Schizosaccharomyces pombe: one gene and its partner. The protein of the gene in region 2 purifies or fractionates together with the protein of the main gene of each other region. This does not show direct contact. Each region holds a gene or a part of one and is shown on either strand. Other genes may lie near its edges.

Evidence for each region. Proteins that work in one complex are often made in the same cells at the same time.
Region 1: the proteins of snx41 (region 2) and atg24 purify together in Schizosaccharomyces pombe (affinity purification with western blotting; one study listed by BioGRID). This does not show direct contact.

The regions. Positions count from the first base shown.
Region 1 is NC_003424.3:2,752,755-2,758,659, forward strand, and holds atg24 (autophagy associated protein Atg24), read left to right. Parts: upstream 1-1,768; 5' UTR 1,769-2,013; coding exon 2,014-2,145; exon of another isoform or gene 2,146-2,213; coding exon 2,214-2,349; exon of another isoform or gene 2,350-2,437; coding exon 2,438-3,375; 3' UTR 3,376-3,626; downstream 3,627-5,905. Other genes in the region: SPOM_SPAC6F6.11C (pyridoxine-pyridoxal-pyridoxamine kinase), read right to left, coding at 20-52; SPOM_SPAC6F6.13C (uncharacterized protein), read right to left, coding at 3,744-5,905. UniProt on the Schizosaccharomyces pombe protein: Sorting nexin, involved in the separation or division of vacuoles throughout the entire life cycle of the cells.
Region 2 is NC_003423.3:4,176,488-4,185,949, forward strand, and holds snx41 (sorting nexin Snx41), read right to left. Parts: upstream 4,062-9,462; 5' UTR 4,002-4,061; coding exon 3,714-4,001; exon of another isoform or gene 3,596-3,713; coding exon 2,123-3,595; 3' UTR 1,839-2,122; downstream 1-1,838. Other genes in the region: SPOM_SPBC14F5.10C (ubiquitin-protein ligase E3), read right to left, coding at 1-1,225; cbh2 (CENP-B protein 2), read right to left, coding at 4,379-5,923; pho8 (alkaline phosphatase), read right to left, coding at 6,305-7,698, 7,833-8,037; SPOM_SPBC3F6.01C (serine/threonine protein phosphatase), read right to left, coding at 8,986-9,462.

The DNA.
Region 1 (5,905 bases), on a different chromosome or scaffold from region 2:
AAAATTATATTTTTTCAACCTGAATCGCTAAAATACGCTTTGTTGTATTCATCCTATATGGTATTGGGTTATCCTCAAGGCGTAGAACTGGATAAGCATGCTTTTGTATAATAGATGATAGCGATATATGATATTGAGCGTTGTCGAAAAACGAATAGTTACCTGAGTTTTAAACAAATATAAACAGACTTATTCTTTTAAGAAGAGATAAATTGACTACTGTTATTTTCTGAATGCTGCCTAAAACATATATTGGAATAACTTACTAAATACTCTTCAAATTAAGGAAAAGCATAAGCTACAATTTCTACCCCTACAAGTAACGATTTTCCTTTTTTTTTACTTCCTCAAAACGGTCTTCTCGAACAGTATGTTCTCAAAAGTTTTCCGACTTTTTATCTCATAAAAAAGAAATTCAATGTTTCTCATGCATGACCTTTAAATTTCTCTTTGAAAAATCATGTGAAGCTTACTTAAAGAGATGTTTCAAATTTCTCTTTATGAAACGAGTATTTATCGGATTTATTGGATATCCACTTATGAAACACTACAGCAGAGCAAAACTTTCAAATAATTGTTTTATTATTTTAAAAGCTATTCCAGAAAAATTTGTTTAATTTAAGGCGTAAATTTCGCGCTAATTTTCCTAGAAATGACTGAAAGGTCGATTTTGTTTACGTCTTTTTGCATCATCCTTTCAAAGCTAAGAAGTTATCGCAAACTATTTCTCCATTATATTGGATTTATTTTATTTTGGAACATACAAACATGAAATTGAATGTGAAGAAATATGTATGTAGCTTCGTCTTTTAAGGGAATTTAATAAAAAGGATAATCAACTTAATTTTTTGCGACAAAACTAATTATGAAGCACATTCTTTTGAATCAATTTATCCAAAAAAGTAATAAATTCAACAGTGACAAGATGTAAGCATTATACGGAATACAACGACTCGAAATACATGGAATTGTATAACTTAATCACTCATTTAAACTTTTACAGAAATCTTCGGCTGAAATATACGGGGTAAAATAGGGCTTTTAATTGTAAAGCTTAGAGCCTGAATAAGTATGCTTTCCTTTATTTTAACATTCCTCAATTTGTTTTCAAGTACTTCACATACCTAGGAAGAATGCTAAATAAGGTACAGTGGGAAAACAACGTTGGTTGATTGTTAGTTTGACTTGCTAAGCTCGTAACTTTGAGGATATGGGCTACAATTTACGTAGAAAGGTAATTTATTAAGCCTAAGGATGGTTGCTTGCTCATTAAAATTGTCCCAATCCTACATATACGCTTTAAACTATATGAACCTCATCTTTTGTCGAAAAAGAAAGTACAAATCCTTCCTCATAAGAAATGTTCGGCAATCTCTTCTTTTTCAACTTTCAGCCTAAAATCGATATGACTACAGAATTTGAAATAGGGAATTGCATTTCTTACTAGTACTATTTAAATGTGTAAAGCTTTCTGGATTACCATCAGACCCTCATTTAAAAATGATATTTATATTATATGCTGATTCTTTAGGAAACAGCAAATGGACGACTTTCTGAATGTGATTTTTTTAACCATCATGTAAATCTAAAGTAGACTGTTGCTAATAACAGTTTCGTACGAAGAACAGAACTTTTTTAAAAATCTAATCTAAATTTGTCATAAATCTTTCGGAAAACCTTTTGAAGCATAAAAATCCCAGTTGAGTTAATGTAGTAACAATCATGTGTATGTACTCATACCTAACCATCACATTCCAGTAATCCACCTAACATCTTAACAACTCTCCAGCACACATACACACACATCATTATTTCAAGTCATTTCACACTTAAATTCACTTACAAACATCTAGAATAATTTTTGATTGAATCGTATTTTATTCATCTGAAAACCGACTGAGATTTAGTATTGTTTCCTTCGTATTGCATTTTTTACATTCGTCTTCTTTGGAAGTGGCGTACTAAGCCTTTTATTTGATTCCATCATACTTGTGAAGTATCCTTAAGCATCCCATGTCTGATTCTGTGAATTTGGACGAACCTTCAACTAATAGTACTCACTTTCTACAATGTTTAGTTACAGAACCTAGAAAGGAGCTACAGGGATCTCGAGACACTCATGTATCTTATCTAATCATCACTAAGGTAAGTCTTATTTTTGAAAAGTAACTGATGAATTATTTTTTGGAAATGTGCTTACTCTATGTTACTAGACCAATCTTTCGATTTTCACACGTGCGGAATGCAAGGTTCGTCGTCGTTTTTCTGATTTTGTGAAGCTTCAAGAAATATTATCACGAATGAATGAGGATTGTGTAGTCCCTCCTCTTCCCGCTAAACATAAACTTGGTATGCGTGCAATTAAATAGAAACTCGTTAGTGCAGTGATTCCGATGTCTTTGACTTTTCAATGATTCGTCACTAACACTTTTTGTAGAATACATCAAAGGAGGTCGGTTTTCAGATAATTTCATAAATCGAAGAGCCAAGCTGTTGAATCGTTATATTACACGTTGTGCTCTTCATCCTGTGCTGCACCAATCGCCTCATTTCATTGCATTTTTAGAAAATCCAAATTGGAATAATTATGTTCGATTCTTTATTCAGCCGAAATTGAATAACACATCGAAGTTGGACGAAATCTCGGATTCCTTGCTAAATGCGTTTTCCAAGCTGAAGGAAGAACCCACTGAGTTTGATATCCAACGCGACCATGTGCAACAGTTTATGTTTGGAATATCTAATTTGGAAGGATCCATTCAAAAGCTTTTACGTTTAGAGAAGGCTCTAGAATCTGATTATGAGGATGTTTCGATTCAGTTTGATCGATTGGCATCCTTGGATCAAGCTTTAGATGTGCCTATTGAATCCATTCAGAATGCATTGCAACAAACTGGCACAGAGTATGCTAATCTTACAGAAAAATTAACTTTATTGTTGGATACAATTAAAGACGTTGAATCTTACGCTCATTCCTTGAAAGAACTCTTGAAGCGCCGCGATCAAAAACAGCAGGATGTCGAGGCACTTCAAGAGTATTCTGCAAAGCTTTCTTTAGAGCGCGACAAAATATCTTCTGGCGGCTCTAATGGTTTCAGTTTATCCAAAACTCTGGACGACTTGCGTGGTATCGATCACAACGATACTAGATTAAAGCGCTTAGAACATGTACAATCGGAATTGCAGGCAGTTGAGCAAGCTATTCAAGAAGCATCTGCCGTTCATGACGCTTTCAACCAAAGGGTTCGAGAAGAATCTAAGCTTTTTGATTCCGTTCGTCAAAGCGAGATGCTTAGTGCTATTTCCGATTACGCTAATGTTCATGTAGAGTTTTTTACAAATATTCGCGACCTTTGGATACGTGTTAAGCAATAGGTTACTTTACTCAAGCCCCACAGCATATGTTGTTTTGATCATGTCTCGATTAATGAATCATTGACCTGCTTTTCTTTTTTAATTTCTAAATATTTATTAATGATAATGATTGTGCATGACTTCGCTGATTACTTTTTTTATCATCAACAATTTCATAATCGGGAAACTTTTTTTGTCTGTATTTGTTTGTAAGTTTATTATGATTATTATTAGAAAAGAAATAAAATAAAAAATGAATTGAATAAATTAGAGAAAAAACAAACAGTGGGGTATAAGAATCGTAAAAATGAAAAAACCGGTATTGCAAATAGTAAAAAATTAGAAACATATTAATGGTAATTCTTGCACGATAATAGCACTCAAACATCTTAATACCATCTACTATTGAATGAGGATCCGTACTTTTTCTTAACCTTCTTAAGTTCCTCCCTTATTTTCTTGCTATCAAAAAAAGCATTTGATTTTTTAGGAGACAAACTGCGGCCTTTTTGCATTAATGACTTTTCAATCAACTCCTTTTGCTTATTTTGACATTCTTCTGCTTCTATTTCATACAACAATTGAGATTGTCGTTCTCTCAAGGGTTCGGGAATAGGTTCTGAAACCAAATCCACTTCTTCATCGAGAACTTCAAATCCAACAGCAGCTAATAAAATTGGCATTGATTCTCTATAAGCCAAATGTCCCGAGACAAGATTAGTAACATCGATGTTTTCTATCCCCGGAATACAATCTATTTGACGCAAACCCGCAACTCGCCCAATGCCACCAGAAGTGGCTCGAAAAAGATAGCCAAGGATCCAATCATTCTTTTTGTAACCATTGACAAACCTTCCAGAAACGACAGATGCAGCTTTAAGCCAAGAAGTACGTTTAAAAATAACAGGGGTGCCGAACAAATATACATTTTCAATGATGCTAAACTCTTTTTTTTTCTCTAATTCTCGCAAACAATAGTAAATAACACGAGCCCCCAAAGAATAACCAACTAAGGTGACTGGGCGGACGCCAAGGGACCGATAACATAGCATATCGGCTAAAAGCTGACCGGTAGCCTTAGCACGGTCTAAAGAATTATTCCACGGATTGTCAATTAGATATCCTAGCTTCGTTAATATCAAGGGCCACTGTAAGGCACCCATTAGAGAAACTAAGACGGTGGATCCCAATACCTGTTGAAGAGACTGTGTAACCACTTCTGTTGCCAAAATGTTCATAGTCTGACCAGCAGAAGCAAGCATTTCGGGCTCCCAAAAAACAGAATAAATATCACCCACGATAGGATCAAGTGTAGCAAAAGAAAGACGGACATCATCTTCTTTACTTAACATCCAACCGGAAACGGTGACGATGACATTGGCTCGTCTCTGTGCATGTAGCGGTCTAAATTCAAAAGTTTTAACATCGGCTTTTCGATGAGCCATGCCAGTTGTACCAATATGAGCTCCTGAAATTGCACCGCCAGCAGTAATTAAAGCAGCACTACCACCCCCGGCTAAAAAACCAGACGTAGCAACTCCAGATAAGCCAACAGTGGTGAAAGCAGCTCCAATGCCTGCACTAATAATAGGAGCCAGTAATCCAGAAGAGAGACCGATCACTAGGCCGCCTCCGATACCTGCTAGGCCCATTAGTATATACTTTTTACGCCTTGATACTTTACGCCGCAATTTCATGACCGCTTCAGTGTTTGCACTTGAGCCGGCTTCTAATTCGCCGGTATCGTCAATCTGAATTGTTTCAACAATATGTTTTTCAAACTTTGCAACATCAAACTCATTAATGTCAAGAACCTCGCCAACAGCCATAAGTAGAGAACGTGACCGACAATCGTAAAGCGATTTAGAAATGAGGACCAGAAAAAGATCACACAACACAGTCCAACGAACATCAATTTGTACCGGTTTCTCTTTCCCTAGGCTACTTAGACTATCGCTGGACTCAACTTCGTCAACAAGCACTGCATCAAGGCTACTGACTGTTTGAGCTCTATGGGCAGAAACTAAAATCTTGGACAAGTCATCTATTTGGACTGAATGTTTGTGAAGATTTTCTATCATCTTCTGTTCCTCTACTGTGACGCCGAGATGTTCATATATGCATGAAGTGGTTTTGTCAGCCCACATAATGGTGTCTTCTAATGCGGCCTTACATTCACCTCGATACCATGGCAAAGTTGTAAAACATGCAATTTTATCAACCATTTTTAAAATTAAAAGCCGACATACGCCAGCGTATGCCATTTTCTCGGTTTCAGAGAGTATGTTGCCAGTGATTTCCAATTGACTATCCATGCTAATTTCTTCGTTGCCATGATCAGCAATGTCTAATAATTTAATGGCTTCACTGTCTAACTGATGCTTTTGATCGTCGTCTTCATCACGAAAAACTCGGGTGTAGCGAGGTTCAAGCTCACTCTCTTCAACTTTTTCAGTTTCTTTCTTTTCTTCTATTATTTCATTATCATCATCGATATCATTGATTAAATGGGTTGGTTCCAACGATATAACTTCCATTGGTTGCCAATTGC
Region 2 (9,462 bases):
GGGCATTCATGTAAAAAGCATCTATTCTTTCAACTAATTCTTCATTACTTAGATTACCATACATTAATAGATATTCAGGCTCAGGAAATTGGAGTGGAGTGGCTCTCAAAGGAGTATCATAGTGCTTTTCAATTTTCACTCTCGGAAACAAACCATCAGCTCGAAAATCGATTATACGAACACAATATGAACCACGGGCTTCTACAAGACTTCTCCCATCGATCAAAGGCTCGACTTGGATAATTTCTAAAATTGTACCATACTCAGAACAAAAAAGACGTTGACCACGAGCATTTCGAAGCTCTCGATGCTCATTATGACCATCACTTCGTGCTCTTAAAGGCATTGCAATACAAAATCGCTTAGAAGTCTCCAGACATTTTTTGATCATGATGTGGTATCGCAGTTCAAAAATATGAAGGAATGTCGGCATTCTGGGATATGCAAGCATGCTAATAAATAACGGAAGCCAACTTTCCTGTTCCTTTTCTTCTTCCCATGATTTTTGACGTTCTAACCAATTATCTGGGTAAAAATCTCGCAAAAATGTGGTAATAGAGTGGCTTTTCGCATGTTCCAACACAACAGGAGATGGGAGCCCAAAACGACAAGTCGGGCATTGAGGAGACTGGGTTAGTGCTTGCATAAGGCAAGGGCCACAAAATGTATGTCCACATGGAGAAACAACTGGGTCATAAAGCATGCCAAAACAAATTTGACATTCCAATTCTCGAGAAACATTCTCTTGTAATAGGTCCTCCATATGTAAAAATTCAGCTACTGCAGTCTCATAAGAAGATGAGGAAGGTATTAAGTTATGAAAAGTGGGAGGCAGCAGAGTAATTTCAGTCAATGCAGAAGTACAAGGTGGTGACGAAGAAAGACAATCGTCATGACAAATTTCCTCCTTTAATTCCAGCGGTACCAAACTCTGCTGAGAAATTTGAAACTCTGTAGTTTTAATCAATTCAACCACTTTGGAAATGATCACATCTTTCACTTCGGTCTCTACAGAATAATGCGGTTTCTTATGGTTGTAAAAGCAACATCTTGAGGGACTAACTTTTCCAGAGCTTTCCGAAGAATATGCGTTTCGAAAGCATTTCCGACAGACTGTTCCTCCACAAGGAAGTGTGACAGGCCAGTCAGGCAAACAATTACAGCCCGGACAAATAAAGTAAGACCTTATTTTATTAAATAATACTCCTGGCCTTTCTTTTCTCATTTTTAATCGCTCGTAAAACTAATTCAGATGTCGATTGCTAATGTCAAGTAATTTTACACTCGTTAATTCCATGGATGACTCCAGAGAATACTAGAAACTTAAAAATATTGTTTTTTTTTTTTTAAGAAAGAATATGAACCTTCTTCAATTATTTCAGTCGAAAAAGGAAAACCTCATTAATTCATGAAATTACTGATGACATATCTTCATCACGCACAAACACTTGCTGTAGCTATCTATAAAATAAAGACTTATTAACAATTCTTAAAAGGATTTATTCCTTTAATTTATGTTAATAAAGCAATTCACAACAGAAAGACAAAGTGATGCTGTGTTGTAAACGGATGACAGCATAAATATGGTGACATTATATATATATATACATAATATAACGTTACATCCGTGTGAATTGCTAACATGATGATGGAAAAGTAAAAAAGACGAATATTGCAATTAAAAAGCTTTAATAATTAAAATAAATTAATAACTTTAATTGATAAAAGTACAGGAAGTAATTACCAGTTTATTATGGTGAAACGGCAAACAATTGTATACCGATATATTACATACTGATCGACATGTGACTCTTACTTTCAGTACAAATTTAAGATGATGGTCAATTAAGAAGATAGGCGTTCATATATTTCATTACAAATAATCATAAAAAAAACAGATTCATGAAGAAAAACCAAGCAAGGTGCTAATCAACCTGAAAGACAAGGCAATCTCAATGGCACGTTTATAAAAGGGTACCGGAATTCTCTAACCTTAGTAGGTCAAGCCTGAATGAAGTAAAACACCTAGGGGTAGAATATGCAGAATAGGAAGAAAAGCATGAAAGCAAATATTCAAACATTGTATTGAAAAAGAAACCCAACCAAATCTAGGACCAATAAATTATGATACATATGTTTTCAATGATTCTTGTACGGAATTCCAGATTCGCAAGTTCCGGTTGGCCCAATCTATATGACTATCGGTCAAACGGTTTAAAATTCTGTTTAAATCCTGACGATGCGTGTCTTGGTAGCGCTGGAACTCAAAGTTTACTCTGTCAGTTACAAATGCGACATCCTTAGTGGTAATCAAGAGCATGTCCGTAAGATGGGTAACGCTTTCTGCGGTCCTACCGATGTTGTTGTGTCGCGATACTTCCACATTATTATCAGTTAGACCATTCAATACAAAACGTATTCTATCAAATACATCACGAATCGTGCGCGGTAAAACAGTAACTGACGTCAAAGAGGTATCTTGTGATACTGTTTCAAAATCTTGACTTTGATTGTGCCGTAAATCCCGCAAACACTCTTCCGTTTGCTCTCCATTTCCATCATGATAGTTTTCCAAGGGCTGATCGGTTCCCATCAAGGGAACCGACGGCTCTTTTGATTCTTCATCATTAAATAGGGGATCTTCTTCGGGAATAGTTGAACGAGAAGTTTGAGCGTTATTTACACCCAAAGTAGCTTCCGATTCCCTATTGAGTATTACGTCCCCATCTACCTCACCAATAGCCTGTTGTAGACGAGCAGCATGTCTCTCCCTGCGCTCCAAAAGATGAAGAAAGCTCTTTTTTCTTGTGAGAAGCTCTTCGACCATTACCTGTTGAATAAACTTCATCTTTCTAAAGATAAAAATGTGACGCATATTTTTGGCGTCTTTTGAAAGCTCCTGAAGCGGTTCTATTACCGCGATTACAAAGTTGTGCATAAAGTCAATACTAGCAAGACATGTGTGATCATTTGCTTGTCCAACCTTTTCCAGTGCTGTCAAAAGCTTTCCCGACTCGGATAACGAAAGAGCGTTAAACATTGCCCCCAAAGTAGAGTGTGCGAGGCAATACTTAGAGTTTGATAAAACAATTTGATTAAATAAATTGGATTCCTCTTGTGCTACTATTGAATACTGCTGTAGCGTATCTTCAAGCATAAGAAAATTTTTCCCAACATCGTCATAATTGTCACGAGGTACAAGGGTTTTAGAGGGAATAGGCAGCTCCTTGTATAACTCAGCATTCTCTTTAGAAGAAGGATCAGCTGGTGGGGCTTTCAATAAATCCTTTGGGAGACAACTAATAGGAGGACTATGCAATACTTCCTTCCAAGATACATGTCGACTAAGAAATTTTCGAAAAACTTCTGAAAGGCCCAGAATAGGGTGTTGTGCTACCCTTCTCAAAAATAATTGTAATAATCTCTTTCTTTCTTCGAGCATACGAGACATTCGTTGGTTTTTGGTGACGTTTATCAAGTAATCCATGATTTTATGTTTATCAGGTAATGGAGGAACCAAGCAAGTAGGATACAGGCGGCTAAGTTGTACGCGCAAAGAAGCAAATTCTGAATATCGATGGTGTATTTCTGAGTCCTAAAAACCGTTAGTAATCAAACATTTCAATACTTCCAAACAAAAGAGAAGAATGAAGCAAGGATTCTACAATGAATAGTTCGACTTAATACATTATCAACCAATTTCCTTAACTTACTTGAAGTTTGATTATATATACTATGTGTGATCCACTCTCAGCCTTCATAGCTCCAGTAATTACAATTCCGTTTGGATCGAGGGCTGAATCAACAACACTATCTACGTCCTTTTGAAAAAACATGTTTCTACTTTGAAAACTCTCATTCGGTTGGCTAATCGCATTCTCTTTGACAGATGAAGAGCCCTGGTGCTGTGATGGCTCAACTTTTGGCTCTACATTGACAGCAGAAGAGGCGCTTCTGTTGTCAGAGCCAGAGAATGGATTATTATCTTCAAAAAAATCCATTCAATTGTTTCTCACAACGTCCAATTTCAATTGCAATGCTGAATAATGGCGTTTGGAGTTGACAAGTACAGACAGTCATACTGTGTTGATTAATGCATTGCGCTATGCTTATTTTTCGCAAAACAAAAAATTTGTCCCAATTCAATTTCGTAATTTAAACAATTGATTCTTCACTTTATTATTTTATCAATATATCTTATTGAGTTTATAAACGCTTTTAGCGCGAATCTCACATTAATTGAAATAGTACGTCTAGTAGTTAACCTTTAAGAATTCACTGTAATTATTTATCTTTCTTATATTCTATAAAAATTATTTAAAAGTATAGAAAATGTGTACATTTTCGTTAGAAACAAATTTTCCAATTCCCACAACCTTTACACAATCGATCTGCTTTCTAAAACCTTTTGAAACTGAAGTAATGTTCGAGTAAACAAAACATTTCCATCTTCCGATTGCTCTTGAAAGTTTAGTAAAGTATTGATGGCATTTATCGCATCCTTTGTTGATAACAAATACTGTGACTCTTCCTCTTCTTCATCGGTTTCAAACTCTCGTTCATCAAGAAATTGAGCAGCAACTTGGTTAACGATATCGTCATTAGTGTCAGCAGAATTTTCTTCAATAGGGTTAATAAAATTTTCGATTTGGAAAATATCCTTATCACCAAGGTATTTTCCTATCAATTCTTGCAAATTCACCGCGATTCTAATGGTTTCTGGAGAAGGACCGGTCAGTGGTTGCTGATTTTGAAAAAGCCCAGAACGAAGGAAACAATTGTATATTATAGATGGTTCAAAGTCAACGTTCCAAGAACGAATCATCCATCTAACTGCTTTTAGTACATTCATTGTCTTACTGGGGTTCTTTCCCAATCGAATCTCCTCAAGCATGTAATTAAGCCAGTATTTTCTGTAGTATGATTTAAAAGCGTAGACTATCTCTTGGCCACAAGGATGGTAAATTTCTGTAGAATTTACAGGAAGGAAAACAACAGTCGTGTTTACCAACTTTCGCTCGGAATTGCGAATATTTTCCAAAGCGCATTCATGAGCGACAAACTTATCCAGTATAAGTAGAACTTTCCTACCCTTCATCAAATCGTCAAACCAACGAAGCCATTCTTCCATAATGGAAGTGGTCATCCTAGCGGTTCCATTATATCGCCAATGAAAATCCATGGAATCAGGATGAGCATTTGCTTGCCGAAAGGCCCTTGGACTTTTAGCATATCCAATCACCCAAAGAGGGGCCTTTTCAGAACCTGTAGCATTACAACAAATAGTGACGGTGACACGAGCCTTATCTCTCGTAATTCCTTTTACTCGTTCACTCGCAGGAGATTGATTGGGAATAAGTTTCCAGCATAGCCCCGTCTCATCCATATTAAAGATGTCTTTTGGATCAAAAAGACTTATTAATTCCTGTATTTGAACCATGTTTTCCTCATACGTTCCTTGATTTACTGAAGTAGATTCACCCTGTAACTTAAGGCCGTGTTTTAAACAACGCTTTTTGAACTTCTCTAACCAACCGTTACTAAATTCTGGAATCGGAAGCTCAGAGTACTCCGGTATACGTCTCCACAATTCTGCGGCGCTTTTTTTGATGGCGTTTCCAGTAATTGCTCCGTCTTGTTTTTGCAACCTCGTTTGCCAGTCAATAAGGGCGTTTTCTAAGATAGGATATTTTCCTTGGCGGTTTCTTCTTATTTGAGAGTTTTCTGCGTCTAGATTATCTAAAAATTCGTTCTTTGATGATAGAATTGACGAAACGGTAGATTGTGCTAGCTTTTTATGAAAGTGCTCCTCGAACCAACTAATAAGCTCTTGTTGCGAAGGTTTAGTTGCTGACTCAAAATAATGTTTTCTAATTGCTTTTTTTTCAGCTAAAGTCAACGCTTGACGCCTCAATGGAGGCATTCTCTCAAGTTTACGAAAAAATCGTTGTAAGGGAGGTAATCGCGGCTGTCGTGGATGATATGGATGATATCCCGATATGTTTGTGATATTTGATATATTAACGTGTTTGTTATTATAATATTATTATAATATTTTCGTTATGGATATGTTAACTATCTTTATTGCGACAAGTTGTATGTATAATTGTAATATTCGTTTGCTCTTAAATCGCAATTGTTGGATATCTCAACCACAGTGGAAATTAAATAAAGTAAAAGATAAGAAGTAAAATAGGTTTAACTTAAAAAGAATTTGAATGCCATAATTAAGCGATTTAAATAAGCTGAGCATATATGAGAGTATTCTAAATTATATATTTATGGCAATCTTGATTAAAAGGCTTTAAAACAAATCAGCACCGAAACCTACAAGACGATCGGAAAATGAAGTTTCCACTAAACTAGGTCGATCTGGGGCACCATGTATGGGAGCATCTTTGAGCTTTTCAGTTACATCGCTTAGTGAAACATTTAAGTATATCTCCATAAACTGTCCAATTTCAATGTTCTCCATATTTCCTCGAAGATGTTCAGTGACCTCTCCTACTCCATAAACGTTTACATCGACAGCAGTATGGCCGTGAGTGGTCCAGCCAATTTGTGCTTCTACACTAACAATATCACTAAGCACGTTTATAAGATTAAATATATTATGCCGGGCCACGTATATGTCATGAATCTGCTTTGGATTAGGGTCAGGAATGCCAATTGCGGGTAAAACAAACTGTTCAATATAAGGAAGCAACGTATTTTGGTTATGGTTCACGATAGCTGAAGCGAGATATTCAATAGAATGGAGAGCAAGAGATAGGACTTGCGGCTTCCATAAATACTCTGGATATTTTTTGGAGACCTGGCGACCAACAGTCAAACCACCAGTTTCATGATCCGATGTAGAGATTAAAGATCCTCCATTCTTTTCTACAAATGCACTTGCTATTTCAAAGGCCCTGTTGTATTCCATAACTTCGTAAACATGAGCGATAGGGTCATTGTTGTGAGAGGCCATGTCAATTCTACTCCCTTCTATGAGCAAAAAAAATCCTTTAGATGTATCTTCATTAGTGGCGTTGAGCAAAACATCCAAAGCCGTCTCTACCATTTCAGAAAGCTTAGGTTGCACTTCAGGCTGATAATCAATATCATAACTGAGATGATAATCAGAAAACAAACCAAGCAAAGGCAATTGAGCGTTTGATAGCTCATCAAAGTCAGTTCTATTAAGCAAAATTTGGAAACCTTCTTTTTTCCTAGCATATTTCAAAAGATCCAAGTTATCGGATCTACATGATCGATAAGTAGATTTAGGTAAGAATGAACAAAGTCCACCACCGAACAATAAGTCAACACTCCTTCCCAAAGGTCCCATCCCGACTTGGTACTCAGCAATTAAATCTTGCATGAATCGATTCGCGGCATGAGCAGAGAAAGAGGCAGGTGTAGCGTCGGTAACTCTGCTTGTGACAACAATTCCGGTTAAGTAACCGGCTTCTTTAGCAGCCTCTAAGATAGTTCCACAAGGTTTTTCATTATCCAAAACACCAACAGCTCCGTTGTAGGTTTTATTAGCACAAGAAAATGCGGTTGCTCCGGCTGCACTATCCGTAATCAAACTCGAACTGGAACGTGTCCGTGAACTGCCAATTAAATGCTCATCCAAGGGAAGCCTATAACCCTCTTTATCGTTTAGAGTCTCTACAAACGATCTAGTCATAGACAAAGAGCCAGGTCCCATTCCTTTAAAAAAAGTCAGTCACCGAGAAATATTGTAAAAAAAAGGAAGATTCCGTCCCAGTGCTCTAAATATAAAAAAAATCATTTTCCTTCAAAAGAGCAACGGATTTATGAGAGAGCTTACTCCAATCACTTACCGTCAGAAACCATCATAATAACAAATTTTGGTTTCTCATTGGTCCCTTTGGACTTATGAGACGAGAAAAAATAAAAAAATATAACGGTTGATAAAACAAGGATTAACAGAATTCCATGTTTTATCCAAGTTTTCCAATTTCTACGAGAAGGGCTCTCCGGACCCTCGCCATGCACTGGCAGAAGAGGATCGCGCTCAGATGCCATTGAAAACTATTTAAACGGTAAAAATTGAATATCTCTAAAAGAAGGGATGTCAAAGGGTAAAGATCGTTTCAACGCGTATGACTTGTTGATGGATAGTACAAATTTTTGGTGTTGAAACAGCTCAACCATACATTGCATGACGTCATGGTTTAAAGTATTAACTCTCCATGTCGATCCTCGCTATCTTAAATCTGATATCGGATAGTATATGCACAAGTTAATCGAGAATGGCAATTCACCAAGTCCACAAGAAATAGCGTGATGGTAAAACTGTCTATATATACATGTAATATCTACTGTCAAATGCAAGTAGCTGTTGAAAATATTAGAATCAGCTGCTGACATGAAAATCCCGTATATCCAAAATTCGATGCAATTACCTTTCGACTATTATTGAGATCTTGTCATTAACGAAAAAAAATATATATAAGCAAATGAGTTGTGAACAGAAAATAAACAAACAAGTAAAGGACTGAACTGTTACTTGAAAATAAAGTACAGTGTTTAAAGTAGAAGACACATTGATGACTTATGATGGCAGTGAATTTTGAGGGTAATAATAATAAGAAGACAGCATTTTAAATCAGTGCGATATTAAAGGATCAATTGTTTTATTTACTTCATTGTTCATATGAACTTAAACATTATTTATATTTTTATTGTACAAAGAACGTGAAATGGAACTTTTGGAATAAAGAGTAGCTAATCAGGAATTAACATTTGGGAATTCCTAACCATCCAGGTATCGAAACCAATCCTTAAGCTAAAGATTAAACATACAAATAGCATTATTTTTTTGAACGACGGTAACTTCATAAAAACCCAAACAACCAAGTCTTCAAAAAATAATTTAACTGGATCATATAGCTGTGGAACAAATTTTTTCAAAAACCAGAAAATTAAAAAAATGTGGGTGCAAACACTGAGAACAGTGCTTGCAGTCTCCCATCACATACCACTTAGCAGTCCATTGGCATATGCCATTGGGCGAATGTTAGGATGGGGAACGGCTTCAAATTGGTGGAAATCCAACTCCATGTCTTCCTTAACTTTAATTACGGCACCAAGATTTCCGGTACTATCACAATAATTAGGAGCACTAAACACAGTAATACAATAACCATCGTGCTCAACTTCGTAGCCTTGATCTCTGACTTCATGAGAACGGATCACTGCTTTAAGACCATTAGCCTCGCAAAAACGTTTTGAAACATCAGGGCCGAATTGTAAACCCACCCCACGTTTCGATGGTCCTCGTCCTGGAGCAGGTTGTGGATCGGTCCAAAGCATTTCCATCATTAACCCAGATTGTCCAGGTTGCTTTTTACTAAATCTATCAATGTTTCGTAGTTGGTCTAATGTTACGTTATCATCAGAAAATAGGCCACCATGTACAACAAGATAAGAATCGGAAATTAGGGAACC